7 linked regions of the Coturnix japonica genome follow. The protein of the gene in region 1 purifies or fractionates together with the protein of each later gene. This does not show direct contact. Links are inferred from orthologs where the notes say so. Each region holds a gene or a part of one and is shown in the gene's direction. Other genes may lie near its edges. The genes, in order: STX6, VTI1B, VAMP3, STX7, VAMP4, NSF and STX12.

What was found.
Region 2: the proteins of STX6 (region 1) and VTI1B purify together in Homo sapiens (affinity purification with mass spectrometry; 3 studies listed by BioGRID and IntAct, counting the BioPlex papers as one, with this or other methods). This does not show direct contact. The link is inferred for Coturnix japonica from reciprocal best matches to the Homo sapiens genes STX6 and VTI1B.
Region 3: the proteins of STX6 (region 1) and VAMP3 purify together in Homo sapiens (affinity purification with mass spectrometry; 5 studies listed by BioGRID and IntAct, counting the BioPlex papers as one, with this or other methods). This does not show direct contact. The link is inferred for Coturnix japonica from reciprocal best matches to the Homo sapiens genes STX6 and VAMP3.
Region 4: the proteins of STX6 (region 1) and STX7 purify together in Homo sapiens (affinity purification with mass spectrometry; 3 studies listed by BioGRID and IntAct, counting the BioPlex papers as one, with this or other methods). This does not show direct contact. The link is inferred for Coturnix japonica from reciprocal best matches to the Homo sapiens genes STX6 and STX7.
Region 5: the proteins of STX6 (region 1) and VAMP4 purify together in Homo sapiens (co-immunoprecipitation; 5 studies listed by BioGRID and IntAct, counting the BioPlex papers as one, with this or other methods). This does not show direct contact. The link is inferred for Coturnix japonica from reciprocal best matches to the Homo sapiens genes STX6 and VAMP4.
Region 6: the proteins of STX6 (region 1) and NSF purify together in Homo sapiens (affinity purification with mass spectrometry; 3 studies listed by BioGRID and IntAct, with this or other methods). This does not show direct contact. The link is inferred for Coturnix japonica from reciprocal best matches to the Homo sapiens genes STX6 and NSF.
Region 7: the proteins of STX6 (region 1) and STX12 purify together in Homo sapiens (affinity purification with mass spectrometry; 4 studies listed by BioGRID and IntAct, counting the BioPlex papers as one, with this or other methods). This does not show direct contact. The link is inferred for Coturnix japonica from reciprocal best matches to the Homo sapiens genes STX6 and STX12.

Annotation. Positions count from the first base shown.
Region 1 is NC_029523.1:5,884,356-5,887,855, reverse strand, and holds part of STX6 (syntaxin-6), read left to right. Parts: coding exon 1-78; intron 79-1,493; coding exon 1,494-1,556; intron 1,557-3,377; coding exon 3,378-3,500. UniProt on the Homo sapiens protein: SNARE promoting movement of transport vesicles to target membranes. Targets endosomes to the trans-Golgi network, and may therefore function in retrograde trafficking.
Region 2 is NC_029520.1:27,588,912-27,593,026, forward strand, and holds the start of VTI1B (vesicle transport through interaction with t-SNAREs homolog 1B), read left to right. Parts: upstream 1-1,315; 5' UTR 1,316-1,321; coding exon 1,322-1,655; intron 1,656-3,622; coding exon 3,623-3,681; intron 3,682-3,878; coding exon 3,879-4,070; intron 4,071-4,115. Other genes in the region: retinol dehydrogenase 12, read right to left, coding at 1-1, 687-805, 1,174-1,268. UniProt on the Homo sapiens protein: V-SNARE that mediates vesicle transport pathways through interactions with t-SNAREs on the target membrane. These interactions are proposed to mediate aspects of the specificity of vesicle trafficking and to promote fusion of the lipid bilayers.
Region 3 is NC_029536.1:234,708-239,003, reverse strand, and holds the start of VAMP3 (vesicle-associated membrane protein 3), read left to right. Parts: upstream 1-1,496; 5' UTR 1,497-1,613; coding exon 1,614-1,615; intron 1,616-2,963; coding exon 2,964-3,045; intron 3,046-3,643; coding exon 3,644-3,802; intron 3,803-4,280; coding exon 4,281-4,296. UniProt on the Homo sapiens protein: SNARE involved in vesicular transport from the late endosomes to the trans-Golgi network.
Region 4 is NC_029518.1:51,543,053-51,546,552, forward strand, and holds part of STX7 (syntaxin-7), read left to right. Parts: intron 1-313; coding exon 314-383; intron 384-2,051; coding exon 2,052-2,142; intron 2,143-3,500. UniProt on the Homo sapiens protein: May be involved in protein trafficking from the plasma membrane to the early endosome (EE) as well as in homotypic fusion of endocytic organelles. Mediates the endocytic trafficking from early endosomes to late endosomes and lysosomes.
Region 5 is NC_029523.1:6,871,390-6,875,435, forward strand, and holds the start of VAMP4 (vesicle-associated membrane protein 4), read left to right. Parts: upstream 1-1,246; 5' UTR 1,247-1,410; coding exon 1,411-1,476; intron 1,477-1,734; coding exon 1,735-1,781; intron 1,782-1,955; coding exon 1,956-2,006; intron 2,007-4,046. Other genes in the region: MYOC (myocilin), read right to left, coding at 260-770. UniProt on the Homo sapiens protein: Involved in the pathway that functions to remove an inhibitor (probably synaptotagmin-4) of calcium-triggered exocytosis during the maturation of secretory granules.
Region 6 is NC_029542.1:656,256-659,755, reverse strand, and holds part of NSF (vesicle-fusing ATPase), read left to right. Parts: intron 1-1,658; coding exon 1,659-1,858; intron 1,859-3,500.
Region 7 is NC_029538.1:1,338,156-1,340,793, forward strand, and holds the end of STX12 (syntaxin-12), read left to right. Parts: intron 1-179; coding exon 180-252; intron 253-412; coding exon 413-495; intron 496-1,005; coding exon 1,006-1,098; 3' UTR 1,099-2,138; downstream 2,139-2,638. Other genes in the region: PPP1R8 (nuclear inhibitor of protein phosphatase 1), read left to right, coding at 2,284-2,348. UniProt on the Homo sapiens protein: SNARE promoting fusion of transport vesicles with target membranes. Together with SNARE STX6, promotes movement of vesicles from endosomes to the cell membrane, and may therefore function in the endocytic recycling pathway.

The DNA of each region.
Region 1 (3,500 bases):
CCTCGGAAGTTCAACCTGGATGCCACGGAGCTGGGTATCAGAAAATCCTTCATCACCAGCACGCGGCAGGTGGTCAGGGTAAGAAGCAAGGATGGGGAAAGAGAAGGCAGCTTGAGTGGTTAAAAAAAGCCAGTAGGGTGACTAGGTCAGTGCTGAACAGGAGAGCAGAGAGTAAGTCTCCTACCTGCCTGTCCTCAGGCTGCCTCCTCATCCCCACATCACATGTTCCCACCGAGGACTGCCTGACTTTAAGCTCACACTCTTAAATATCAGTACTTCACAGAAAGGTGGGCCTGGCAAAGCTCTGCTTGTTGGGCCGCAGCTTCACACAACTCAGTGCTACAGCCAGCATTAAACTCAAGTTCAGTAGCACCTGCAAGAGCAGCAGCATTTATTCACATAGCTGTTAGAGAGGATTCAGAAGCAGGAAGAATATTTTAACAGCTCGGTGGTAATAAATAGAGAATAAAAGTCTCTCTGAAATCTTCACTGTCTGCTTACACACTGGTTAGGAAGTTTTCTCTCTATTAATTGCTACGCTCAGTGCAGCTTAATTTCTGCTTTCCCTCATGGCTCAGATGTTCCTCCTTGACAAGCTGCATTGCTGTGGCTAGCAGCAAGCTTGTCATCCTACCTGCAGTCCAGAGGCAGTTCTTAAGGCTCGCTGCCTGGGAACTGATCCTGAAGCCCCAGCAGCCCCAGCATGCAGTTATTTGACTTAGGTTTTCCATGGAGAGAGTTTGTGATAGAAAGCAGCTTGTGCATTAAAAGTAACCAGGTGGGATCTGCTGCTTGTAAGTGATACATCTCTGAGCAGTAAAACATACCTACGTGTCTTCTGGTGACATCAGAACTCTGCTGGTGGGTAAAGTGAATCAGCACCTGCTGGATCATATTGGCTTCTTGCATATCTGCCCTATAGAAACTGAACTGGTTTGCACTGGAAGTAGGAGCCTCCTGTGGCTGTCTTCTGTAGGAGAGACAGTCAGAGAGGAGGGCCACAGGACAGGAAATCTATCTTGTCCTTTGCAAGATTAAATCAGATACAACTGGGAATGAAATGCAGGCTACGGGCTCCCAAGACCTTCAAGAACGTATCTTCTTTACCGTCTGTCACTGGGAACATTAAGCTGGTATTATACAAATCAAAGTGTTTCTGGCTGAGCAGTTTAATCTAGCTGTAGATGTCCCTCTTCACTGCAGGGTAGTGGGACTTAATGACCTATAAAGGTCCCTTCCAACCCAAATGATTATCTGATTCTATAAAAATGAGTAGTAAGTAAGGGATATTTTCAAAATATCCCATTGCTGTTGATTCTAGTATTGAATAGCAATGAATTGCAGTGGAGCTTTTAAGAGCATTTTTTCCACAGACCCTTCCCTCCCTCCCCACAAAGAAATCTTTCTGGGTATAGACAACTTGGTAGCAAACTGAAGCTGAAAGTCACCTCAAATCCAATGCTTACGTCCTTCTTCTTTCTTTGAACAAACAGGAAATGAAGGATCAGATGTCAAATTCCTCCATGCAAGCACTGGCTGAAAGAAAAAACAGGCAGGTGAGAATCAGAAGTGGGCAAGCTAAGTGAACGCAGTGGTTATTTGGTACTTTAAAGAGCTCGAAGGATTTATCAGTTTTAACAGCTGTTTTGAGACGTGTTAGGTGAAGCTTTCGTATCACTTAGTTTGGACACCCGCACCATAAGGCAGAGCATCTAGCATGGTTAAAGCTCCTTTAAAGCTGTAAGTACCATATATATCCCATTTTGTAGCACATCACCTTACAAACATTTGTTCTGGGAAGGGGCTTGCACGCTGCAGCAAAGCTGTGTGTTTGAGCCATGTCTGTCTCACTGATCTGAGAGCATGGGTTCTGTCAGGCTCGTTGCTGCCACCCTCTTTCAAACCTGTCACTCAGAGCAGTAAGTCACCACTCACCATCTGTCTCCATCTTCAGAAATGCTTGGGTACAGCCATCAGCATTGCATCACCCTGCAGAAGGGGGAATCTCCCTCCACCTCATGAGGAAACAGAATCCAATTCTGTAAATGTAATCCTGTGCTCTGCTGTATTTAGGAGCCAGGATGCCACATCCCTTCACAAATAGCTGCCTCACATGATAATTAACCTTGTAAGAAGATGGAAGAAGCTCAAGGAGTCTCAGGTTGTCTGCTTTTGTAATCTAAGGAATAGAAATAGATGCAGCTTTTGCTTCTCCCTGGCTAGTGAGACTGTAAGGAGATCTTTGAGCTGACTTCCAGAGCTGCCTCTGTTAGAGCTGCCATGCCCTATCTGGCTGCATCATTCTTTATCACTTGTGGCAAAAATGATAAGCTGCAAGAAGATACTGAGAAGCACAGAGTTGGTTTGTCAGCCTGTTACAGGCTTAACTGACGTGCTTGGCAAAAACTTGGAGAAGCAAAGTCCCTTCCTGTCTTGCTCAAACAAGCCTGTAGCTCTCTCTAAGTTTTGCTGCTTTACTTAAAACTGCAAGCTGCAGGAGACCATATGGCCCAGCTTGTGTGGTGACATCTGGTCAGGAAAACTCATTTCCCCTTGACATCTTCCCTCCCCAACCCCTCGCCTTCCCTTAAGTCCGCAGAGCCTTAGCTGAGCTGGGCTACAGCAGCTTCTCCAGCATGTCTCTGTGTCTGAGAGGCCGGCTTTCAGCTAACAGTTACCTGATCCTCATGGACTAAGGCTGGCAAACACAGACTTCCCTCGGGAAGCTGCATCAGAACTTCCTTCCAGGGACCAGATGTCCTCAGCTGGAAAGCCACTTCTCTGCAGGATTTGCACTAGCTTCTCTGTTGAGGTCGTAGAGCAGGTAGAGACTGTAATCTTGCAGTATGGCATACTTGCAGCATAACAGGTAACCTGAATCATAGAATGTAAGTCCCGCCTTCAACACTGCTGTGTTTATATTCACTGTTTTACTGTCAGATCATCTGGTTAAGTACTTTATCCAGACTTTCAGCCCTGGTCATTAGCAGCACGGTGTTCAGTTCCATCTATACATCTGTTAACATGACGTATCTGGATACTTCCAGCGTCCTCCTAGCACACAGTGCTGCATCTTGAACAGACCTTTACTAGTCCTTCGGGTGGAGCAGGCCTCCTGCTTGCACTGTCTGTCAGTCGTGCTCCAGCTCTCCTGTCGGTGGAGAAGTTTTTGTGCAATAATCATGCAGATATTTCCCATGCTGGCATTTGGCATTGCATTGTTTTAGTTTGTGCCGGCACTCTGGCTGAGCAGCAGTAGAGAGGGAGGAGAAAGATGCTGTAGGCACGTGTACAGGAGCGTTGCCTTGTCCTCCTTCCCTGAGACCAGCTGTGAGCAGACACAGAGGTGTTGCTAAGGGACTTCTGCATCTGTTTAGGCACTCCTGGGTGAAAGCAGCAGTCAGAACTGGAGCTCTGGACCTGACAAATACAGCCGTTTGGACCGGGAGCTGCAATTAGCAAATTCACACTTCATTGAGGAGCAGCAAGCTCAACAACAG
Region 2 (4,115 bases), on another chromosome or scaffold:
CCTGCAAGGAGGAAAAAGAACACAAGCAGATGTCACACTCTGTATGGACAGGACAACTTGGCACTTGCAATGTATTGTGTCCTATGGAACTGACTTCAGTCCAGGGGAGCAGCTGACAAGCACAACAACTCTTGTTGTAGATTGTTAGCTCCAAGCCAGCTCAGACCTGTTTTATGACAGGGAGATTGCACATCTGAAGTGCCTCTGTCCAGCTTCTCCCAGGTGAGGTGAGTGCACTGCAGCCCTGGTATGACCAGGTTGTATTTGTGGCTGTATGGGAGCACTAGGGCCTACACACGCAGGGTTGCTTGGACTCCAGCCAGAGCCATTGCTGGGTACTTTCACTGCCCTGCTAGTTACCAAAAAACATTTAAGCCAGTTTTGAACCATGAGCGGATCTGAGCCATTTCCCATCCCCAAACAAGGTAGAGCCCTGTGACTCCAGGCACTTCCTTGGTCCTCCCGAGGTGGCCACAGCGCTGAGTATTTCTACACGCTGAGACACGGGGTCAGGGTTCAAGCAGTGAATGCAGCTGGGAACTGGGGAACTGCACCTCAGGGGTTACAGCCCTGTCTGAAGGACCTTCAGAATGTGGCTCTTAGAAACACGGCCCCAGGCTGCAGACCACGACGCGTGGTGCCGGATCGCATCAGCCGCACCCGCTCGCAGCGTGACGCCGACTTGCCTCTCCGGGCGAGCTCCCTGGCGGTCTCTTTGCCGATGCCGGTGTTGGCGCCCGTGATCACCGCCACCTTCCCGTCCAGCCTGGCCGCGGACCCGCAGCGCCCTCCGGCCACGTACCGCCTGCAAGAGAGCGGCGGGACTCGACGGCGGCTCCGAGCCCGACATCGGACCGGGCACCGCGACACCCCGCTCCGCCCGCTCCGCCCGCTCCGGTGGGGCCACGGCTGCCATTGGCTGACAGCGCGGCTCCCGGCGCGGCGGCCAATGGAGTCGGCGCGGCGCCGTGGGGCGAACCCGGGCCACCGGCTCCCACCGCCCCGTGCTCGGCTGAGCCGGACCCCCCGCGGGAGCGGCTCGAGCCGGCTGCCGCCAACCGCACACCGCCGTAACAGCGCTGCCCGAAAGCCCTTTGTATGTCTCCAACCCCCAGAAAGGAGCCGCTTAGCCCGGCGGCACGGAGCCCCCCGAGGCGCCCCACAGCCCCGCACCTGACGTAGGGCGCCGCCGCCAGCAGCACGAGGGGCACGGACACGGCGGCGCCCAGCACCGCGCCCCAGCAGCTCAGCATCGCCGACGGCTCCATCCGCGCCGCGTCCGCCCCGCACTGATCGCGCCCGGAGGAGCCGCCCCGCCCCAATGGGAGCAATGGGCGGTGCAGGGCGGGGCGGGGCGGAGCACCACGAGGCGGCGCTGCGACTACGGCTCCCAGCGGGCAGCGCGCCGCCAGGACCCCGCTCCGCCTGGGCTGCCCCGGTGCCGCGGTCAGGCAGCGCGGGGCGTCTCATTGCGCAGGCGCGGGTCCTCGCGGCCGATGGCGGAAGCGGCGCCGGGCAGTGCCCCGTACGGCCCATCGCCATGGCGGAGCGCGGCCCCGCGTCCTCCGAGCACCTGGAGCGGCTGCACGAGATCTTCCGCGGGCTGCACGGGGAGCTGCGCGCCGTGCCGGAGCGGCTGCGGGGCGGCGCGGCGGGTGAGGCGGGGCGGATCCGGCTCGGCGCTTTCGTCGGGTTCGCGGAGGTTTCTCCCGCAGCGCGGCGAGGCCCCGCGGTCCGGCCCGGCGCTGCCCGAGCCGAGGGGCTCGTTTGGCTCCGCTCCCGGCGCACAGCGCTCGGCTGTGGCGTAGCGGAGAACGGGAAGTGGGCGCGGAGGCGGGGAAGCACCGGCTGGGTGTGAGGGGTGCGGTGTCCGGGCTGCCCGGTTCAGTCTAATACCGGGTTAAATGCAGGGTCACCATCCTATTCGTTTCCAGAAAGTACAGTGGGAGGCACTTAAAACTATGGGCCGCAGCTTTCAAGGCCAGAAGGCAGAGCAGGCTGCTCACAGAAGCTGTGGAGTCTCCTCCAGTGATATTCAGGACCCTCCTGGATGCTTTCCTTGGTGACCTGCAGGGAACTGGCTTTAACAGTGGGTTGGACAGGGTGATCCCCTGGGGTCCTTTCCAAACCCTGCAGTTCTGTGATTCAAAGCTGCCTTTGTTTTATTGACAGTCACCAAGAAGGAAAAGCATAAAGGAAGGGATGCCCCTTTGTGAAGAAGGGCCCTGGAATCTGGGCATCGTTTCTATACAATTAATGGGAGGAGGTTGCAGGGTAGGGTGAGGGTTATTTTGCTGCCTTGAAATACAAACTCAACCCTGTTGCTGGGGAAAGAATGGGGAGAGACCGTGCTCACACATATTGAAAAATGCCCCACAACGCTTGAATTTCAAAGAACAGAAATTTCCTTGCAGAAAGGAGGGTTGTCAGTTTTGTGGACAAAAGTAAACTATTGCCAGGTCCCCAGATCTGTGATATTCCCAAGGAAGTATAACAAGGGAGTTCATGTGAAGTCAGGAATTTATCTCTCTTTTGAAGGCATTTGTAAGGCATTCTTTGCTGTCCATGCCCACATGGGTCTTCATTTTTCACACTGTCATGAAAAGTCTGTGGGACAACAGATGGTGTCCTGTGTACTCCTTTGAGATGATTGGTAACTTCCCAGACTGCAGGGAGGACAAAATGTGTCATTGTTGGACCATCTTCCATGTGGAAATGTTATCTTACAAGCTAATAAATTCTCAGGTCTGGAAGCAAGTGTTTTCTTCCTTCCAAACCTATAAGAAAGCATTTTAAATGGCATTGATCAGTTTCTGCTATAGATCCCATTCTCTGAGTAAACAGTTAACTGCCTTTTTCAACTGATTGTTTTTCGGTTGGTTTAAATGAGATCTCACAGATGCTGAGAAACATGTGGGTAATGTTTCTGTGGCTGAAGTGCAGTGCTGTACTGATCCAATTGTGGGCACCCAAAGAGGGTAAAATACTGCTTTTTCAGCACTGCTTCGGGTTTCAATGGGTTCGAGACAGCAGCAGTTGTTCTAAGAGGGCACTACATTCACCAAAGGAGTGGAGTGTCCTGCGTGAGCAGAATGGTGACTTTAGAAAGTTGTTTCCTTGCTGTGTGTGCCCGTGTCCTTGCTAGCAGCCTGGCTGTTCAAGCAGTTGAATCAGCACAAATGTACGTGGCAGAAAAGCAGGGGAGGAGCTGAGGATAGTCAATGTAGGAACCCCATAAATCAGCATTTCCTGCAGCGCTAAACTTATGTTTAAACTTATCTATCTTAAGTGCACTACAAGTCAAACTCAGGGGCTTAATGGGGATTTGAACTGAAAGGGAAGGGCCCTGGTGTGGCCACGGCACATCCATAAGATGAGCTGGTTTTAGGTGTTTTGATCTAACATCCAGTGTGGTTCCAGAAAAGAGAAGTATTTGGACAACCTGATCTGGTGTATTGATGGTGTCTTCCATCTCAGAGCTCTGCAGGGTGCTTGTCTTATTTGAGTGGTTGTTTTTAGTGAACTGCTAGGATGCAAAAACCCGATTTGCTGGAAATCAGGATTTCAAGTTCTGCTTTAGTTTTGTTGGGGTTTATCTCACGTGTTGCTCTTTCTTGTGCAGAGGAGAAGAAAAAGCTGATTCGGGAGTTTGATGAGAAGCAGCGTGAAGCAAATGAAACGGTAAGTTTAAGCCTGGAATTGTGGCCTTTCTGGCCACTTAATATGTTGATTGCCCTAGAAAGGACAGTATCCCAAGTTTTACTTTAATGTTCTTATGTGAACATAATATGTGAATCCCTTCATCTAGTGTAAGTTCTGGGTACAGCTGTTTATAAGAATGAATGTGATGCTTTAAAATAAGTGTTCTTTTCTTTAAGCTCCGGGAAATGGAAGAAGAACTGAAGTATGCTCCTCTACCATTCCGCAATCAAATGATGAGCAAAATCCGGGCATACAGAAGGGACCTCTCCATGTTCCAGAGGGAGATGAGAAGCACAGATTTGGGACTGGGCCCTGGAAGTCAAGGGGATATGAAATACGGAATCTTTTCCACAGAAAATGAACAGAGTGTGAGCATCTGATAGAAACTGTATTTAAAGCTTCTGTGATTATGA
Region 3 (4,296 bases), on another chromosome or scaffold:
GTCTGTTTTGCGAGCGGCAGTTGCAGATCTCTGAACGGACTGATGTCACTTTGGGATTGTTCCTATTGGAAGAATCGTTCTGGCTCGATCCCGGCCACCAACTGCAATGTTTAAATGGAGGCTTCACGTGAAGCCATAAAAACACTCTCACATAAGAAGCTTTTAAACTGGTGTCTTTAAAAGAAGAGTAAAAACAAAGATTGTGGCAAAAAAACAAACACAAAAACAAACCTGGGGTCAGTGCTCTTGGTGCCTTTTCTATAATTGTACCTGTTTTTAATTACTTCTTTTCACTGCCAGCATTGAATTACAGTAGACGTGTGCTATAGCTCATTACCAGAATTATTGTACATTTCTGAATTGCTGCTTTATGACCTGATTCAATTAAAAAAAAAAAAAAAAAAGATTAAAAAAAAAAAGTAAGAAATGCTGGTTCTCATGCTGTGGCTTTGGGCAGCTCATAGCCTCTAATTGCCGTATGGAATCGGGACTTTACCTGTTCAATTGTCCTCACACGCAAAAATAGAAGTGCAGAAGAATCTCCTTTGGAATGAATAGGAAATGCTCTGTATTAATACTGGAGGAACCCTGATATCCTGAGATTGGAATGTTGCTCCACGAATCGATCTCTTTTCTAACGAGAGTAGTGACCTCAGTGCAAATGTTGAACTCCCTGTATTCAGAAAAACAGTTCAGTAACATACAGAGCTATTTCACATTACTCTTCCAGATCCATGGGCCTGGTGGTGTATCTACTAACCCAGATCCTGCTTCAGCAAAACGTTTAAGCGTGGGCTTGGTGTTCGACACGCCAGCAGTTCTGTGTGCTCAGAGCTGCTCGCCTGCTTGAAGCCAAGCGCAGCTTCCAAGTGCTTTGTTGTGTCGGGTCACAACCCTTCAGTGCATCGCGGGGGGTCACAGACTCCCGCTGAAGTGAAGTGATCCGCTCACCCTTCTCTCCATTGTGGGACTTGTGTTTTCACAGCAGACAAACTAAGTGCAGCTTCCCAGGAAAGTTCAGGTTCCCAAGTGCCAGGAGCCAAAACCTCCTGAACCCTCCTGTCTGGTCACGGAATCGCTCCTTTGTGAATCGCGTCTGACAGCAGAAATACTGTGTGATCGAAATGCAGAATATAACATGAACCCCCTCTCTGGTTGCACGCTTATGGCAGTTCCACACAATAGCTGGTGCCCAATGGGGGGTCCCCAAGACTTGCATGTCAAACTAGTATAGATGTCTTCTCTTTTGTAAGTTTTATTTTTGTAACCGTGCATGTAAAGCATCACTGAATCAATGGATCTGTTGAAGAACTCAGCTGCTGGAACCATGCAAAATGTTTTGAATTGCCCTTAAAATATGGAAAATGTTTTCTGAATGCTTTATATTCTTTCTGCTGTAAATTAAAAACAAAGAAAATTTCCCCATACGAAGCGTCTGACTGTTTTTACACGGGACATAAGGGACGTAGCGCCGCCATGGGCCCATCCCGCGGCCTGCTCCTCCCACAGCCCCGCCCTCCCTTCGTCACATCCGGGCTCCGCGGGGCAGCTGCCGCTTCCTGTCGGTCCTTCCGAGCGCTCCGGGTGCGCAGCGGCTCCGTGTCGGCGGCGCGATGTGAGTACGGAGCTGCGGGCGGGGAGCGGCCCCGATGGGCGGCGGGGCGGCCCGGCCGCGGCCGGACGAGCGGAGCAGGAGCAGCGGGCGGCTCGTTACGGCTCGTTACGGCTCGGGCCGCTGATGTCGGCCGGGAACCGCCCGTGGGTGGAGGCTCCCGGGGCGGCCGCGCTTCCAGCCGGGAGAGGCCGAGCGGGCTCCGCTTGGGCCGCGCACCCCGAGCTGGAGGCGGCCACGGCCCTTGGCTGCCGCTGGAGGCGGCGGGGGGGCGTTATCCTGCCCGGCTCCCCGGGACAATGTCGGCGGCCTCGGCAACTTCACTGAAGGCTTTTCTGGAAGCGCTGCCGACGTGGGCAAAGGAACGAGGGGCGGCTTTGGAGGCCAATTTCTTGTGTGCGTTCTGTGTGGAGCCTCAGAAAGCGCTTCCTAAATATTGGCAGCAGTAAAACAGCACAGAGGTGTGAGCACAGGAGTGGTTATTACATCAAATCTGAACTACTACTATTGAGCCCTGTCTTGTTATCACGGGGCACTGGGTGTGGGTCGCTGTGTGCGTCTACTTCCTTAAAATGTAGGTTTGAATTTAGTGCCCAAATCTCGTGCTACAATAAACAATGCTCAGGTTGAACCCTCTGGGTGTCAGGTTGCACTGAACAGCACGAACTTCTGCTGCAGAAAAGAGGAAAATACGGAAAAGCTGCTGGAGTTGTGGAGCTGTACAACAGAAAGTCACTAAAGCTGTGGACAGAACATGAGAAATGCGTACAGACTCCTGCACTGATTGCAGTAATGCACAGTGTTGTACTGGGTAACAAGAATGGGACTGCCTGGGGTTAGGAGCTCAGAGCTGACTGCAGGTTAACTGTTCTTTATGCCAAATGCATTTTCCTTGTGCTTTCTCTTGCTCAATATCAACTGTTTCAGACAACTGCTCTGTGCAAGGACACAGAACAACCATGAAAGTTCCTGTACTTTGGTTATTGGCGTAGAGTTTGTTACTGAAAAACTGAACACTACTGAGCTTGTGCCTGAGAACCTGAGCCCCTTCTGAGCACTACAGGAGTTGCCATATGCCTTAATAGAGACTATTGTATTAGCTAATTGTGACTTTCAGTACATCAGTCCATTCACTAGCAAGAGATTGAGGATGCACTTTGACTTAGACCTATAGCCAGCTGCTAAAACATCACTTTCCCAAAAGGAAATTAAACTTCTCTAAGATTATTCCAGGATTCAAAGTTTCCTGCTTCCAGGAAGGTCAGATAAGTTGTGTGTTGTAAGCATGTCAACTTGAAAGCAAAATCTCTAAGAGAAACTAAGAGGATCCCAATGGCTTTCTTTACTGCAGGTCAGCCAACGTCCCCGGAAACACAAATGTGCCTGCTGGTAGCAACCGTCGGCTTCAGCAAACTCAGCATCAAGTAGATGAGGTAAAAATCTGGTTAGATAAGTGTCATTCATTCCCTTAAAAAATCGGGTATCTAGTATAGATATACCAGCTAAAGTCGCTGTTGTTTGATATGAAGGTGAAACCTTTTACAATTCATCTTTCTTTGTTGTATCTATCACCTTAACTCTTGGAAAGGTTCAGAAAAATAATAATCCATTAATTCATTCCAGCTTGCTGCTTTGGGAAGACAACAAGCTTTGCTTTGACACAGAACAAGCTTGCTTCTCTTCATTAGCAAAGAAGTTTTACCTCTAAATAAGACATGTCCTGATTCCTGAGGAGGCCAAGAGCCAGTTTAGCTGCCAACGCTGTTTTTTGACGTATGGTTGACTGTTGTGCTTGAATGCCTCAAGTCATTCTGGTGCCAGTCAGGAGTTACATCCCAGGTTCAGGGGAATATAAGCACAGTGACTGTACTGAGACTGAGAAATAGACACTAGGGCCTTCCAGCTGCAGGTAATGTTCAGGCTTATGTTTGGATACCCTAAAATGCAAGTTCCTGCTCCTTAGATGAGAACATTTGTTCCCTGCAAATGGATTTGATACTGATTAATAAAGCTGATAACTTACCGATGTAGGTTGTTGACATCATGAGGGTGAATGTGGACAAGGTGCTGGAAAGAGATCAGAAGCTGTCGGAGCTGGATGACCGTGCTGATGCGCTGCAAGCAGGAGCTTCCCAGTTTGAGACCAGTGCGGCCAAGCTGAAGAGAAAGTATTGGTGGAAGAACTGTAAGGTAACCGTGGCATATATACACTTAGAGTATTCACTATCACAGTGAACAGTATTACAGTCAGCATCTCAAAAGGCAGCGGGAAAAGGGACTTCAGGCAGCGTTCATTTCTATAGCATCTAGTTTTAAAGCACTGCAGTGGTGAGGTGAAGTAATCAAATAGATGACCAGCAATGCTGCTTGATACAAGGCCTTGTGTGAGCAGCAATGGCCAGAGGGAAATGCTGCAATAATCTGAGGCTTTGGGGTACAAGAGGAATAGGCCAAAAATATATATATTAATGTGTAAGCAAGCGGAATGAGCTCACTGGGTATCCTTGTAGCTGTCAGCAGAGGTTGGAATCCTCATTGGTGAGCAACAAAGACAACAGAAAGGTCTACCACACCGAGTGAAAGTGCTTTGCAAGGGCTGCTGTCCTGCACTCTGACGGCTATTAAACGCTGCTGTTACATTATGTGACGAGTGGCTTTTTCTTCACAGATGTGGGCAATATTGA
Region 4 (3,500 bases), on another chromosome or scaffold:
TTACTGAATTAAAATGCTAGCCTTTTAATTGTCTGTTTCTGCTTAGATACTTGAATATATTCCCATCCTTTGTAAGAAACCCTGGGTTTTGTCTTTAAGTTGGCAAAAATATTTACAAATTGTTCTTTAATGTTTCAGTGAATCTTCTCAGTTGATATAAAAAATAAAAAGTTTATATATATATATATATATATGTTCAATATCATTTTCTGTCAATTTTTATTGTTTTAGAATTGCTAAGCTAAAAATCATAAACTTATGTTGGAAATGTCTGCGCACTATTAAACTTTCTCTTCTTCCTCTTCACAAACAGCTGCTGAAATACAGAGAATACTCAGTCAGCTTGGAACACCACAAGACACACATGAGTTGAGGCAACAGCTGTGAGTATTTCACATGAAAATATTTAATTTCATTGCATTGCAGACAGTTTCCAGGGATATGATTAGATATGGGTTGTTTGGTTTTTTCTTAGGCAAGGTGCTTGTCCTCACTGAGAAAGGCAGGTATAGGGAAATATTTGAAATTTACACGTTGAGGTGCCTTTTTTTATTCTTATTTAATTTTGAATACTTTTGGTGCACTGGTCAGGTGGCATGAACGCATGCGTTGCCTACAGTATCAATATATGTACAAAATTTTTGCTGTATGTTAGCTAAGGGAAAGCAACAAGACTAAAAAGCAATGTTGTTGTTCAGTATCTCTCCACTTCTCAGCGCAGTCTGATGAACCAGTAATATTATTATTTTCTTTTTTAAATCAGCCTCCTTTACCAGATAAAATTCAGCAGCATAAAAGCAAATAACCATTGTGTTGTGCTAACCCTATGGATGGGAAAGTTGCCAATCATTACTGTGGCTATTGCTGCATATAGTTGGAATAAAAAGAAAATGAGTAGCAGGAGGAAATATGTATTGAACCAAAGGCATTATATTGTATCATATATGTATATATATGTATATGATATGTATATATCATATTGTGTGAACAACCAGCTTGCTTCATAATAACCTGAGCTTGGAGCTCATAACAATAGCCAGGTACAACCCACAGTGGATGTCCTGCTGGAGATCGAATGCATAAAGATCAACATATGTGAGTTATGCAGTAGCAGGCAAGATCTAAGCATAATTTCAAAACTAAAAGGACTAGAAACTGCTGTGAATTATAGTCCATTTAGGAAAGTGCTAACATGATAAGTTTCCTTGAGGTTTTCATCTATGGTCATTTCACTGGTCTGAACGTTTTGCCCTTCCCTTCATGTAATGAAGTTGTCTGGGAGAGTTATTTGATTGCTTTCAAGTATTTATGTTGATTTTTGCGAACTGCTTTCCAGTCTGGGAAAGCAGGTAAAAAAAACTTGAGTTACTCCAGGAAAAAAAAAAAAAAAAAAAAAAAAAAAAAAAAAAAAGTGAAATTCATAATGAAAGTGTGTGGTAATAGCAGAAGTGAAAAGAAACATAAAGTGCAAGTAGAAATGATGCTGAACACAAGGCTTTTTAAAGCACAATTTAAGTTTTTAAGCAATTAATTAAACTTTCCTGTTAAGTTCACAGCTGTTGTGTCATGGGAGAATACAAATCTCTGGGTATGCTTCCCAATGACTATCAGGAATTGGCTTTTCATGGATTATGTTCATGGAGTTATATTCAGGTCCAGTGTTCTTCCATACAGGAAAAAACTGTGTCCTTTATACAGTTATTCTGAACTTCTTTAACAAAATAAGAGCCTGAAAAAGATGATGGAAAAGCATCTTTAGTTATTCACAGTAATTGGAACCCTGTTGCTGTGCATTAGGGAAACAATTACAATATTGCAAAAAGAAAAAAGTGGGAAAGGTAAGTAGCTGTGCTGTCACACTGAGAAACATTCCCTCAGTGTCCATGTCACCTGGAATCCACGGTGATCTGTTATGATTTTGCACTGAAGAACAGTAGAAGGATGGCATCATGCAGTTCAGTGAGTGTTTAATACCACTGTGTTTCTGAGAACTGGTAAAACTCCAACAAAATTAGCCAGCGGTCTCTAATGAAACTTTGCATTGTTTTTAGGCAACAGAAACAGCAGTACACAAACCAGCTTGCCAAAGAAACTGACAAATACATTAAAGAGTTTGGATCTTTGCCTGCAACAAGTGAACAGGTATAAAACCAAAGAATATGGCTTAAAGTTTGATTATCATGTTGGCTCATATAGAGTATTTGAGAGACTTCAGTTCTGCATGCCCAGTTTTTGTATCCTTCATCTGGCTTTCAAAGCACTGTTTGGTCACTGAGGACATTTGCATAGTAGGGGCAATTACAACACAGTATGTTTTGCTGTATTCCAGACTTGTTTCAAATATGTTTTTAAATATCCGAATTGAGTTTGACTGAGAAGGCAGGACTCAAGACAGTACATTGTGCCTGTGATTTCAGCTATCTGGGCACTCAGTAAACTGTAGCAGTGTTGCTGCTGAGTTTAACTCATCAGTTTTGAGTGCTTCCAGTGGTCAGGAATTACTGCCTACCTTAACCATGTGGCAGGTGATCAGATCTGTTTGCACAATGTCCAAATAATTTTTGCAGAGCAAGTCTGATCTGCATAACTCAAATGAGCAGATATGCTATGTCTTGTCCACAGGCTTTTCTTTTCTTAAGAGGGATGGACAAGAGCTGTTACTAGAACGATTTGTGCAGCCTCTGAGCTGCTTCATTCCCATATCTGTGAGAAAGACAGGCAGGAGCTTACATGCAAAGTAGCTGTTGTCATTAGCATGCTCTCAACTTTCATCCTTTGATTTCTTATAGTAACAAAATCCAGGACTTAGATAAGGGAAGAGCAATAGGACGCCAGAAAATATGAACACAGCTTATTGCCACTCAGACAATTTTTCTGATCTGTGACTTGTTAGCAAGGAGCGCTTAGGAAAATGAATTGTCCTGAAACACTCATTTCCAATGGCAGGCTGTGTTCCATGCATGCTCTGCCTGTTGTGAACTTCTGGTAGAGTTAGAGTTTGGTCTTACTATATAACCTCTGGTTGAGGCAAAGATGTTTTTTATTCTTTGTCTTGTTGCTGAAAAGTTGGCAGTGGGATATTTTGCTGTTTAATTCTAATCCTTTTATCATGAGCATTTTCATCAAACACAGCACTAGATGAAATACACAGATGTTGGGTTGATGAATGGCAAGTTATGGCCTCTCACAAATTTGGAAGGCAGGGTTGGTATAATGGATATATTTAGGGAAATAAAACTGAGGCTTTCTGATGTGCCTGATATAGCCATTCCTTCCTTGGCATCTTCCTCAAAAAAGTAAAAATAAAAAGACTCGAAAGTTAGAGTAGCTATCTTCCTAACAGATTTTAAGGATTTGAAAGGGATGTGCGCCCACTTCTGGTTGCAGTTCAAAGTACATTTCCAGTGTTTATGTACAATACATGTGGAGAGCTTTGTCCCTGCTCATTTCTTATGCTTGAGCACTATTTCCCTCATTCATTCTGCTTTGCTCATTTTAGA
Region 5 (4,046 bases), about 990 kb from region 1:
GCTCCCCACATTAGTGTGCTCCATCCCACGCCGATGTGGCTGGCAAACAGCCCGTGTATGGAGATGGGGAGAGGGCTTGGGGGTCCCCATGCTGGGTCCTCGCAGTGGGTAGGCGCTATTCTAAGGGGCAAAGGCAGGTGGCCCAGGTGGGGGCACAGGCTGCAGGGTGTAGGGGAGGACAGAGGGACCCGATAGCGCGGGGAGGATGTAGGACTCGGGGCGCAGAGGATGCCCGCAGATTCCCACCCCCAGCACTGACCTTTGCTGGCGGAGCGCAGGGTGTCGCGGCCGGGCACCCCCCCCGTTCCGGAGGGACATTGCGCGGCCCTGAGCCGGGCGATCTCCCGGGCGCTGCTCTCCAGCCGCCGGCCCAGCTCCTCTTTCTCCCTCTCCAACCTGCCCTTCTCCTCCTCCAGCCGCTCCTTGGCCCGCTGCAGCTCTTCGCACCCCCCCGGGGCCGCTCGCTGGGGGCCCCGCGACCACACTCCGCTCACATCAGCGCCCCTCGGCCCCGAGCCCCCCATTCCCCCCACACCTCCCGCTCCCTCCAGGCGGCTCAGACGGGCGGTGAGCGCGGCCAGCTCGTCTCTCAGCTGCGCTACGGCACCGGCCTCGGGGCAGCTGGCCTCGCCGGGACTGGCCACCGTGAAGCTGTAGGTGCATCGCCCGCTGCCGTCGTTCTCTCTCCGCAGCAGAGCGGCGGGGTCCCCGCGGGCGCTGGGGGCGATGCCCCCCGCCAGCAGCAGCAGCGACAGCCAAGCGCCCGGCATGGTCCCTATCGGCACCCCGCTCTGCCGCCGCCTTTATAGGGCCGCGGGAACCTTCCAGACCGCCCGGCCCCCCCGTGCCGCCCGTTGGCAAAGCTCCGGCACCGCGGGGTGGCCCAGGCCAAACTATTCGCGGCCGCGGGCCAGGGCTGCGGCGGGAGGAGATGGACGGGACGGGCAGGAGGGGACCCCATGGGAACACGGGTGTCGTAACGGGGGACTCAGCGCCGCGACAGCCCGCAGCGCAGGGGGGGCTGCCCGCGGTGCTGCCCCAGAGCTGCCTTCCATCAGCTCGGGGCTGTACAGCTGCCAGGTACGGGGGTCCCATAGCACTTATGGGGGGGGGTGGATAAAGCAGGTGGAGCAGCGCCGGGACGTGGAAATTCCCCGCCGCAGACACCGGCTGCTCGTGGGCATCGCAGCCCCCGTCGGGCCGCCCGCCCATATACAGACCCCGCCCATACACAGACCCCGCCCACACACAGACCGCGGTGGATCGGGTGGATCGCTCGGCACTCGTTGGATCGCAGAGCGGCTCGATGGCTCTGCCCGGTTCCGGTGCTGGAGGCCATTTGCCGGCCCGGCCCGCTGCCCGCTGAGGGGCCGTGTCCGTCCTCCCGGTTCCGGTTCCCCGGCAGGGATCATGCCGCCCAAGTTCAAGCGGCACCTGAACGATGACGAGGTGACGGGCTCGGTGAAGAGCGAGCGGGTGAGTGCGGCCGGGCCGGGCCCGCTGTGCTGCAGCTCGGCCTGAGGGGCGGCAGGGCCGGCAAACACCGCTGGGTGCTGTGACAGCACACACAGCTCACAGGGTACAGCAGCACAGCTCCCGTACCTGGGAGGCAGCGCTGATGGTCTCCCATGAGGGCTCAGCACTGCCCTGTGCTCTGAAGGTGCTGGTGGTGTCCTAATGTCTGGGGTGTCATGTGAAGAGGCTGACACTGATGGTGTTTTGCTTTGTTCACAGAGGAACCTTTTGGAGGAGGATTCAGATGAAGAGGAGGACTTTTTCTTGTGAGTTTCTGAGCAGACACGGGGCGTGTGATGTTTGAACCGCCTGGAGCTCTAAGGCTGGGAGTGCTGATACCAAGAGCTGCTCCCTGCCCTATTGTGTACCTTTAGGTCTTTGATTTAAACACATGTTTTCATTGCATCTGCTATTGTAATTCCTGTCCTTTTCTGCTGCAGGAGGGGACCTTCCGGACCGAGGTTTGGACCCAGAAATGACAAGATCAGGCAGTAAGTTCGTGTTCCTCTGTATCGCTCACATAATATTTTATGCTGATGTTACAAGCTCCTGCTGCTCTGTTAGCAGACTATTTTTCTGTAGTTCTGATCAGTGGCTCGTGCTTTGTTTCATCTGATTGTAATTTCACAGCCCGTTAAGGAAAATCAAATTTGTTTCACGTTATCAAGGAGCTGTGCTTTAATAGCAGAAGAGGGGTAGAACTTTATCACAGTGTCATGGTGGAGTTTCCAAAGCCCGTGGTATATTTTAGTGATAATGAGGTAGAGGTGACCTGGAGATGAGCAGTCACTCAGTGGGGTCGAAGCAGCTGGAGAAACAGGAGCCCTGTACAGCTGGAGCAGGATCATTGGCTGTAACAGGGCGAGAAGAGGGAAGGAAGGGACACTGAGTCCTCCAAGTGAGTCATTTCCTGGGTGATGCTTATTCTAGGCTCTGATTAGCCCTGCTCCTTCCAATTAGAGAAGTGATGGTGACACTTAATGGGAAGGACGGGGTGCTCAGAGACCTCTGTGTTGAGTTGTGCTGTTGTATTTGCTGGCATCCACGAGGCAGAACAGAAGTCAGAGACCGATGACTGGACGTTAATCAGGCCGTATTGTTTTGTGTGCAGCCTTGGGGTTACTCTTCATTAGGAATGTTTTCTTCATGCCTTGAATCAGCCAGTGCATCTCTGAAATGAGTCATTGGGAGCTAGTGTCAAAGAGGCTCTTCTAGGTGAGACTTAACTAGGGACAATTCTGACTTTTCCAAGTCCATGGTGAAGTGATTTAATAATGGTATTTTAGGAGTTTGTGGAGTTGAATTGAAATTCCTGACCAAAGGAGGCAAAAGGATCTTTTCAGTCCAGAAAGCGAAGTTATTTAGGTCTAAGCAGGTTGGTTTGGCAGGGTTTGTTAGCGCAAACATGTGAGTAGGGGTTGTTGTGTTGTTGTTGTTTTCTTTATGTGGAAATGGGCAGCTAATAAAATCCATCTTGGCTCCTTCCGTTCATATTCTCTGCCCATAAAGTTCATTCATGGTCACTGGAGAGCAGCGTGACTGAGAGGCTGGTGGTGTCTTTGGGATCTTCTTTGGAATTTCTACACACTATTTAGTTTTCTGACCCTCTTTATTTAGTTTCTGACCTTCCTTGACTTTCTTTGGTCTTCTCTGAGCTGGACTTCAGTAAGGCTTTTGTCATCGTCCCCCATAACAGCCTCATAAACGGGTTGTTGTTGCTGTGGGATGGATGGGTGGACTGTGGGGCTGGGCCAGTTGACCTCCACAGCTCAGCCATTCTCTGGCTTAGTGACTCAGTGACAGCTGTAGGCAGTGCTGAGCTGTGTGCCTGCTCACTGCGTTATCTTGAGAGGCAAAGTGCATTTGAGTTATGCAGGAGGGTGGATTGGCTGCTGTGTCCTGTGTTTTCAGTGGGCCTGTGCTCTCTCTCGGGCATCAAGATGCTGCTGGTAGAGATGTTCAGGTTGTGGCAGGGAGGCAATGTGGATACAGCCTTCGTTGTGTGGTGCTGTACTGGTCTGAAGTGAGTGAGGATGACAGTTGTGAGTGGTGTCAGCTCTGTAAAGTATATGGGAGAGTTAATGCTGGCCTCTATCCTCCTCTGCTGGAGGGAAATTGCAGAGGGTCTTCCCTGTGCATAGCAGAGAGGGGCAGGAGCTCTTCCCTTCCCATGTGTTGGTGAGACAGAAGGGCCATGGGGGCTTGCAGGGAGCTGAAGGAGAGCACTGCAGCTGTGAACAGGAAGAAAAAAGAAAGAATTCACCAAGGAGCTGTTGGGTTTATAGCTGGACACCAGTCATATCATGACATATACAGGGGCGCAAGGCTGCTTGTCTGGTGAAACAGGAGCAATTTGAGTGTTGGGAGAGCTGAGGCTTAGCTGGGCAAAGCCAGAGAGACTGGAGCAGTGTGTTGCTGGAGGGAACAAAGTGTGAAGATGTGTGTAAAATGAAACTGGTAAAATGGGCAAAGGAAAAAGTAACGGGATCACGGGAGCAATGGTGGAGAACATGGTGAATGTAATGGGCGAG
Region 6 (3,500 bases), on another chromosome or scaffold:
GCTCACAATACCTCTTGTGACATTGATTTGACAGGAATAGCTTTTAATTTATCTGAGCCCCATTCATTCCTGTGCAGAACTGGTTCTTCACTGACAGTATGTGTTTGTGTTTCTTGACTCGTAGATGCCTGAAAGTTGACTGATGGATTCTTCTTAACCAGACCTCTTGCTTTTTCTGCAGGATTTTCTCTTCCTTTTCGTTCTTTACCCTTCCTTTTCCATGGAGAAATCTCTGAGTTTATTACTGTACTTAACCAATGGATCACTATCTCTGTTTAAGATTGTGGTGGGGATGAGAAGCTCCTCATAGTGATGTTCTCTTTAAACTTCGATACACTAACAGCCTGAAAGAGAGAGAGCAGTGTGTGCTGATATTAGAAAGTGTTCTGTATTGAGCTGTTTTTCATGTTGAAGTGTGAGTTCATCACTGAAACATTAAAGAGTGAATGAAATTAAGTCGCAATTGAGCACTGGTGAGAAAAGTGCTTGTTCTCTAAATGCATTAGAGTACTTCAGGTTTTCTAAGGTTTCAGGTAAATCTAATATTCTTGAAGTAAAACAGTTTTTTATTTTCAAATCTACCAGTATTGGAAGGACCAAGACTAAAGGAGAGGGTGGTACAGGACTCTGTACCCTCCAATTCACCACTTGTGTTCAAAGTGGAGGCTTGTGCTGATGAAAGCTGCTCTGGGCACAGTCCAGATGTGCTGTTTTCTCATAGGCTGCAGTGGATGCAGCTTATTCCTGGTCTTTTTCCTTGGGGTGTCCTGTAGGGCTGGTGAGTGGGAGTGACTGTGGCACGAGTTGTTGTTCTTTGTCTTCAAAACAGAATGGAAAATAAAAAACAGATCTGCTGGAAACACAGGATCTAGGCAAAATAACTTATATGTTTCCTCTCTTCTACTTCCTCACTAACTTTGTAGTATGTGTTAGTACTGTGACTTTTCTTATTAAGGCAGAGTATAAAATATTCCAGCATAAGGTTATTGAAATTGTTGATAAATCACAGCTGAGAGTTACATGCTGTTTATCTAAAATTCTGTGAATCCAAGGGTAAACTTTCTTGCTTTCACATTGACATGTGAAACTCAGAAGTTCTCTGCACTCTTGTGTGTGTTGCAGGTCAAGTTGCCCAGGGCTCCATCCAGCCTTATCTTTTGTGCCTTCTTCCATATTTGTCCTAAAAACTTGTATTCAGAACTAGACTCATTAAAGCTCAATGTAGGGATAGAAAGTTAAACATTATTACCTAATAGTCCATGATTTCTGATTCAAGAAGCAGCAATCTCCACTGTCTACACCTACACTGGGAGCTGAGCTTCAGTTGGGTAATGTTGGCAGTCATCAGGGTTTTGAAGGATGCTTCATTTCTCTTTATATATGAAAATTAAACTCAGATAAACCTTCCTGTAAGGGAAGGTTGTCCTGATTTGTGTTATGTATCCCTGTAGGGGAAATGAGAAATCACAGAAGCATTATTTTGGAGAAGATCTCCAATATCACCAAGTCCAGCCCCAGCCCATGCTCACCATACCCGCTGACTGTGTCCTTCAGTTCCGCATCTCCATGGTTCTTGAACACCTCCAGGGATGGTGCCCCCACTTCCCTGGCTCTTTCCTATGCAGCCCTGTTTTTAATCATGTTCTCTCTTCTTCCAGGCTGCAAGCACGTAAAAGGCATTCTGCTATATGGACCTCCAGGCTGTGGTAAAACTCTTATGGCCAGACAGATTGGCAAGATGCTGAATGCCAGAGAACCAAAAGTGGTCAACGGGCCAGAAATCCTCAATAAATACGTGGGCGAGTCTGAGGCCAACATCCGCAAGCTGTTTGCTGATGCAGAAGAGGAACAAAGAAGGGTAATGCAAACATGGATAAATAGCATGGTCAGGATGAATGTGCCTAAAGAATGCCTGGAAAGGAAGTTTGTAATCAGAAAATTGCTGCTTGCATTAAAAGACTGAGTCACAGCTTCACTTGTGATTATAGTTATTCCTTGCAAGTCACTGAATATTAGTGTTCTACAGATTCACTTGGTGTTGACTCAAAGCAAAAAGAATATTATAGAAGTGAAGAAGGTAGCTGGTCTTCCAGGTAGCTGTGCTGCAAGTGAACAGTTTGTTTAACTTTCATTTTAAGGTAATTCATTAGTGCCCATCCTGCTGTGTTTTATATTACACGGTGTGTCAGCTGTTCAGAAAGTGCTTAAAAATAGGTTTGTAAACATTTTGCTCCATTTCTTTTTCGCTTTTTTCTTGTTTTAGTTTGGAGACAGTCCAGTTGGAGTTAAGACACATAAAATAGGATGGATTTCAAATAAGTTTTCATGACTTCAAGTTTTTGAGTTACAGGCTTATGAGTACATAAATCTACATTATAGACCATTGATTTTTCCTCAGCAGAAAACTAATGGAGAAGTACAGTTATGGATCATTAGTTATGGTACTAATGGACAAGAACTCTCTATCTCAAAGCTAGAGAGCATGGATCTCCCGAAGTGTAATTGGAGGCAAAGATTGTTTTTCCCAGATTTGTTGCTTTTGTCCATTACTTCAGCTGGTTACAAAAAGCCCAGTATTTAGTTTGAAGCTGTAAAAACCTTTTTTCCTTTGTGCTGTGGTAACTCTTCATATCACTTTATTTTCATAAGAGTTTCTGATAAAGGAAATAAGACATCAGGTAAGTCGGAGTTAAATATAGGAAGGTCTTTTCAGAAGACATCAGCCAAGGGTGCTGTATCTTCTGCTGTTGTTTATGACAGCACTGCAGATTGTGATGGTGCTTGACATGGCTTTATTCTGCACAAGATTAATTAATCAATAAGCCAGCTTTACATGGGAGCCCACACAGATGTAAACAGCCTCCTTCTCTCTGGTTGTTGCAGTGTGACTGGAAGCTGTGAGCTTCTTTCCTTTGCAATAACACACCTGCTAAAATGGGGGATGGTCCTGATGACAAGTAGTGAGATTAGAAAGGTCTCCAAAAGGTTGGTATTGTAATGACTGGTGTCTGAGCAGATTGCCAGGGACAGCACATTCACCTGGTATTAACGTGGTCCCCACTGACCACAATAGATGTTTTAGAGGTGGAATTTGAAGGGGAAAACTTCATAACATGGTCACAAGAAAAAGTATCCTGTTCTGTGACCAGCTGCATCTGCTTCACCTTTGGTGAACCTGGAAATAAACAGTTCTGTTCTGATTGGCACTGAACAAGTTGACTCCTTGAAACATGGAGAATAAAGTGACATGGCAAGCTTGACCTGGGATGTTTCTCGCATTGGGTACATCCATCCAATATTTCCAGCACTGAGTGCAGCCATCCCACTTGGGTTGGTTGTATGTACCAGCCAACCCATTTTGAAGGACAGCAAGATGTTATTGGGAAGGGATCTAATGCACAGCATGCGATATCCAAATCTCTTTTGGATATTGATTTTGGAAATCAATGTTTTGTGTTTTGCTGACTGATCTTCTTTTGAAGTTATGTTTTGTTAAATGC
Region 7 (2,638 bases), on another chromosome or scaffold:
TATTGCAAGCTCTTATGTTAATCCCAAGTTCCATCAATAGCAACATCAAGTCACCTGAGTCAGTGAGTGATGGCATCTATTCAGTTATTTCTAGTGGTGTGTTCTGAAGAGGCACTAAGAATTAGGCTGCAAAAGAACTGTAACCAGTGTTTTGTATAACTTGTCAAACTTGTCTTCAGGCCGACATTTTGGATGTCAATCAGATATTTAAGGATTTAGCCATGATGATTCATGACCAAGGAGATATGATTGGTAAGTGTGTTTGGATAAGGAGCTTCTTTTCTAGTTCAGCTGCACTTTCTTTCTGTGTAGTTCAATTTTTCTGATATTTTGTACAAAAAATGTTGTATTTATTTTATTTTAAGCACCAGAAGTCTGAATTGTTTTACAAGTTCTCTGTTTTTTTCCACAGATAGCATAGAGGCAAATGTGGAAAGTGCAGAAGTTCATGTGGAAAGAGCCAGTGAGCAGTTACAGAGAGCTGCCTATTATCAGGTAAATTATGTATGCTTGTATTATTGTAAATGTACAATCAAGTACAGTAACTGTATGCTACATCATTTAAGCTGTAGAAATGCAGTACTATCTCTGCATCAAACTACAGGAGGGATTGTTTTCATTTGTTTTACCTGGAAAATCCAGATAGTTGGAGAGGTTTAGCTTTCCTTTGCAGCCTTGGTGGCAGACCTTTGCATGAAATGTATATTAGGTGGTGTCGGCTTCCCTATTTGTAGTTATCTTGAAGTAAAGCCTTGAATTTGCCTTAAAATGTAACAAATTCTGCTAGCTTTGACTTAATTGGATTTCTTAGACCTAAAACTAAACCTTCAGTTGTGGCATATGCTGTTTAAAGACCTTGTGAAATTGCGTACTTGGTACTTCCCTTGAATAATGACAGGTATTGAGTGCTCTGGTTCACCATACTTAGCAACACAAGCTGCCAAACTTGCTTTTTCTTCCTCATCTGCTCATGGTATCAGTGGCTTTTTCTTCTTCTTTCTTTAGAAGAAATCCCGTAAGAAGATCTGCATCCTGATTCTTGGTCTTGCTGTGGCTTCTATACTCGTAGGATTAATTATCTGGTGGGCAAGAGGGTGAAATCTTCACATGGATTCTTGTCTCATTGCTGAGAATATTTTCCCCCAGCACGAAAAGGCAGACTAGTTTTGGAAATGAAACCACCCTGAGAGAGCACAAGCTGGAACTACTTCTAGTAATAGTTATTAGCAACTAATGTGCAGACAACTAGTATTTGGAATTAGTGAACCATGGAGACAGTATTTATCAGTTTATATACAAATTATATTGTTTTATGTAACTAACATCTCGTGGTTTTGCTTTCTGTAATGTATTATTCCCTGTCCCGACTGTATGCTGAAGTGTGATCGATAATTGGAGATGTCTTGTTTCACTTGACAAGTGGCAGACATTGAACTTTTTATATGTACAGATAACTTTGTTGGACTGGAATAAGAACGACATTCAAAGAGGGCACAACACTAACTTTCATTACCTTAATCCAGCAGTTTCTCAAGTCTCTGGTATCTGCCCCATGGTTTTATTAGTCTCTGGGTGGCTGTGGTTCTAAATTTGATTGAAAAGATGCCACTGCAGATCTGAAAAGCAAGAAGTATGCATGGGTGATAGATGGAACAAGTGTGCTCAGGAACCGGTCACTTTAGCCTTGAGACTCATTGCTTTTATTAATTTTTGTGCATGGTTGGGGTTGTTTTGGTTTATTTTAATGCACCGGTTGAGTACTGTAAGTCCTGTAAGTCTAAGGACACCCAATCTAGCAGTGCAATGTCATTGAAGAAATGAGCTGATGGTTTATCATTGGATGAATAAATCTCTTCCATTTTTGGTTCTCAAAGCACTAAAACACAAAGCTGAGCTCCCCACTTTGTAGCCCTGAACTGACACGCACTGAGGGATCAGCAGTCTGTCCGGTATCGTGTGGTAAATGCATCATACTGACCCATTTTGTATCTAACCCTTTATTCCACGTCTCCTGCGTAATAAAATACATGTGAAAGCTGGGAAGGGGGAGGGGTGTTCTCCCAATAAATTGCACATTGGTTTGCACTACTTACGCCATCATTCCATCTAATAACTATCAATAAACACTTTTAAAGGCCTTTGTCGGAGCTTCTTTATTTTGCAAGATTAAACAGCGATAGAATCAGGTTCCTCTAAGCCCCGCTCTGTGGAGAAGCTCGTTCCCGCCCCTCTCGGCGCGGAGCACGCCGGGACCGCCCCCCGCCTGAATGGGGCAGATGCAAGATGGCGGCCAACGCGAACTCGGCCGGAGGAGGAGGCGGCCTCTCGCTCTTCGAGTGTCCCAGCTGGTGAGCGGGCCGCGGCCGCACGGCTCTGCGCTGCTGCGGGGCTCGCAGAGGGACGAGAGCGGCTGCCCGGCCGGGTCGGGCCGAGCCGGGGGAGTGGCGCTGGGGCGGGACGAAGCGCGGGGCTGCGGCGCCTCACGGCCGGGGGGATGGAGCCTGGCCGAGCCTGAGCGGGCCGAGGGGAGCGGGGCAGCGTTGGGTCGGGGGTGTGGGCCGGAGGGAGCCCGGCTCGGCGCTGCGGGGCCCAATGGGGGCGGCTCGGGCCGGAGTGGTGCTGTGTGAGGCCGAGATGT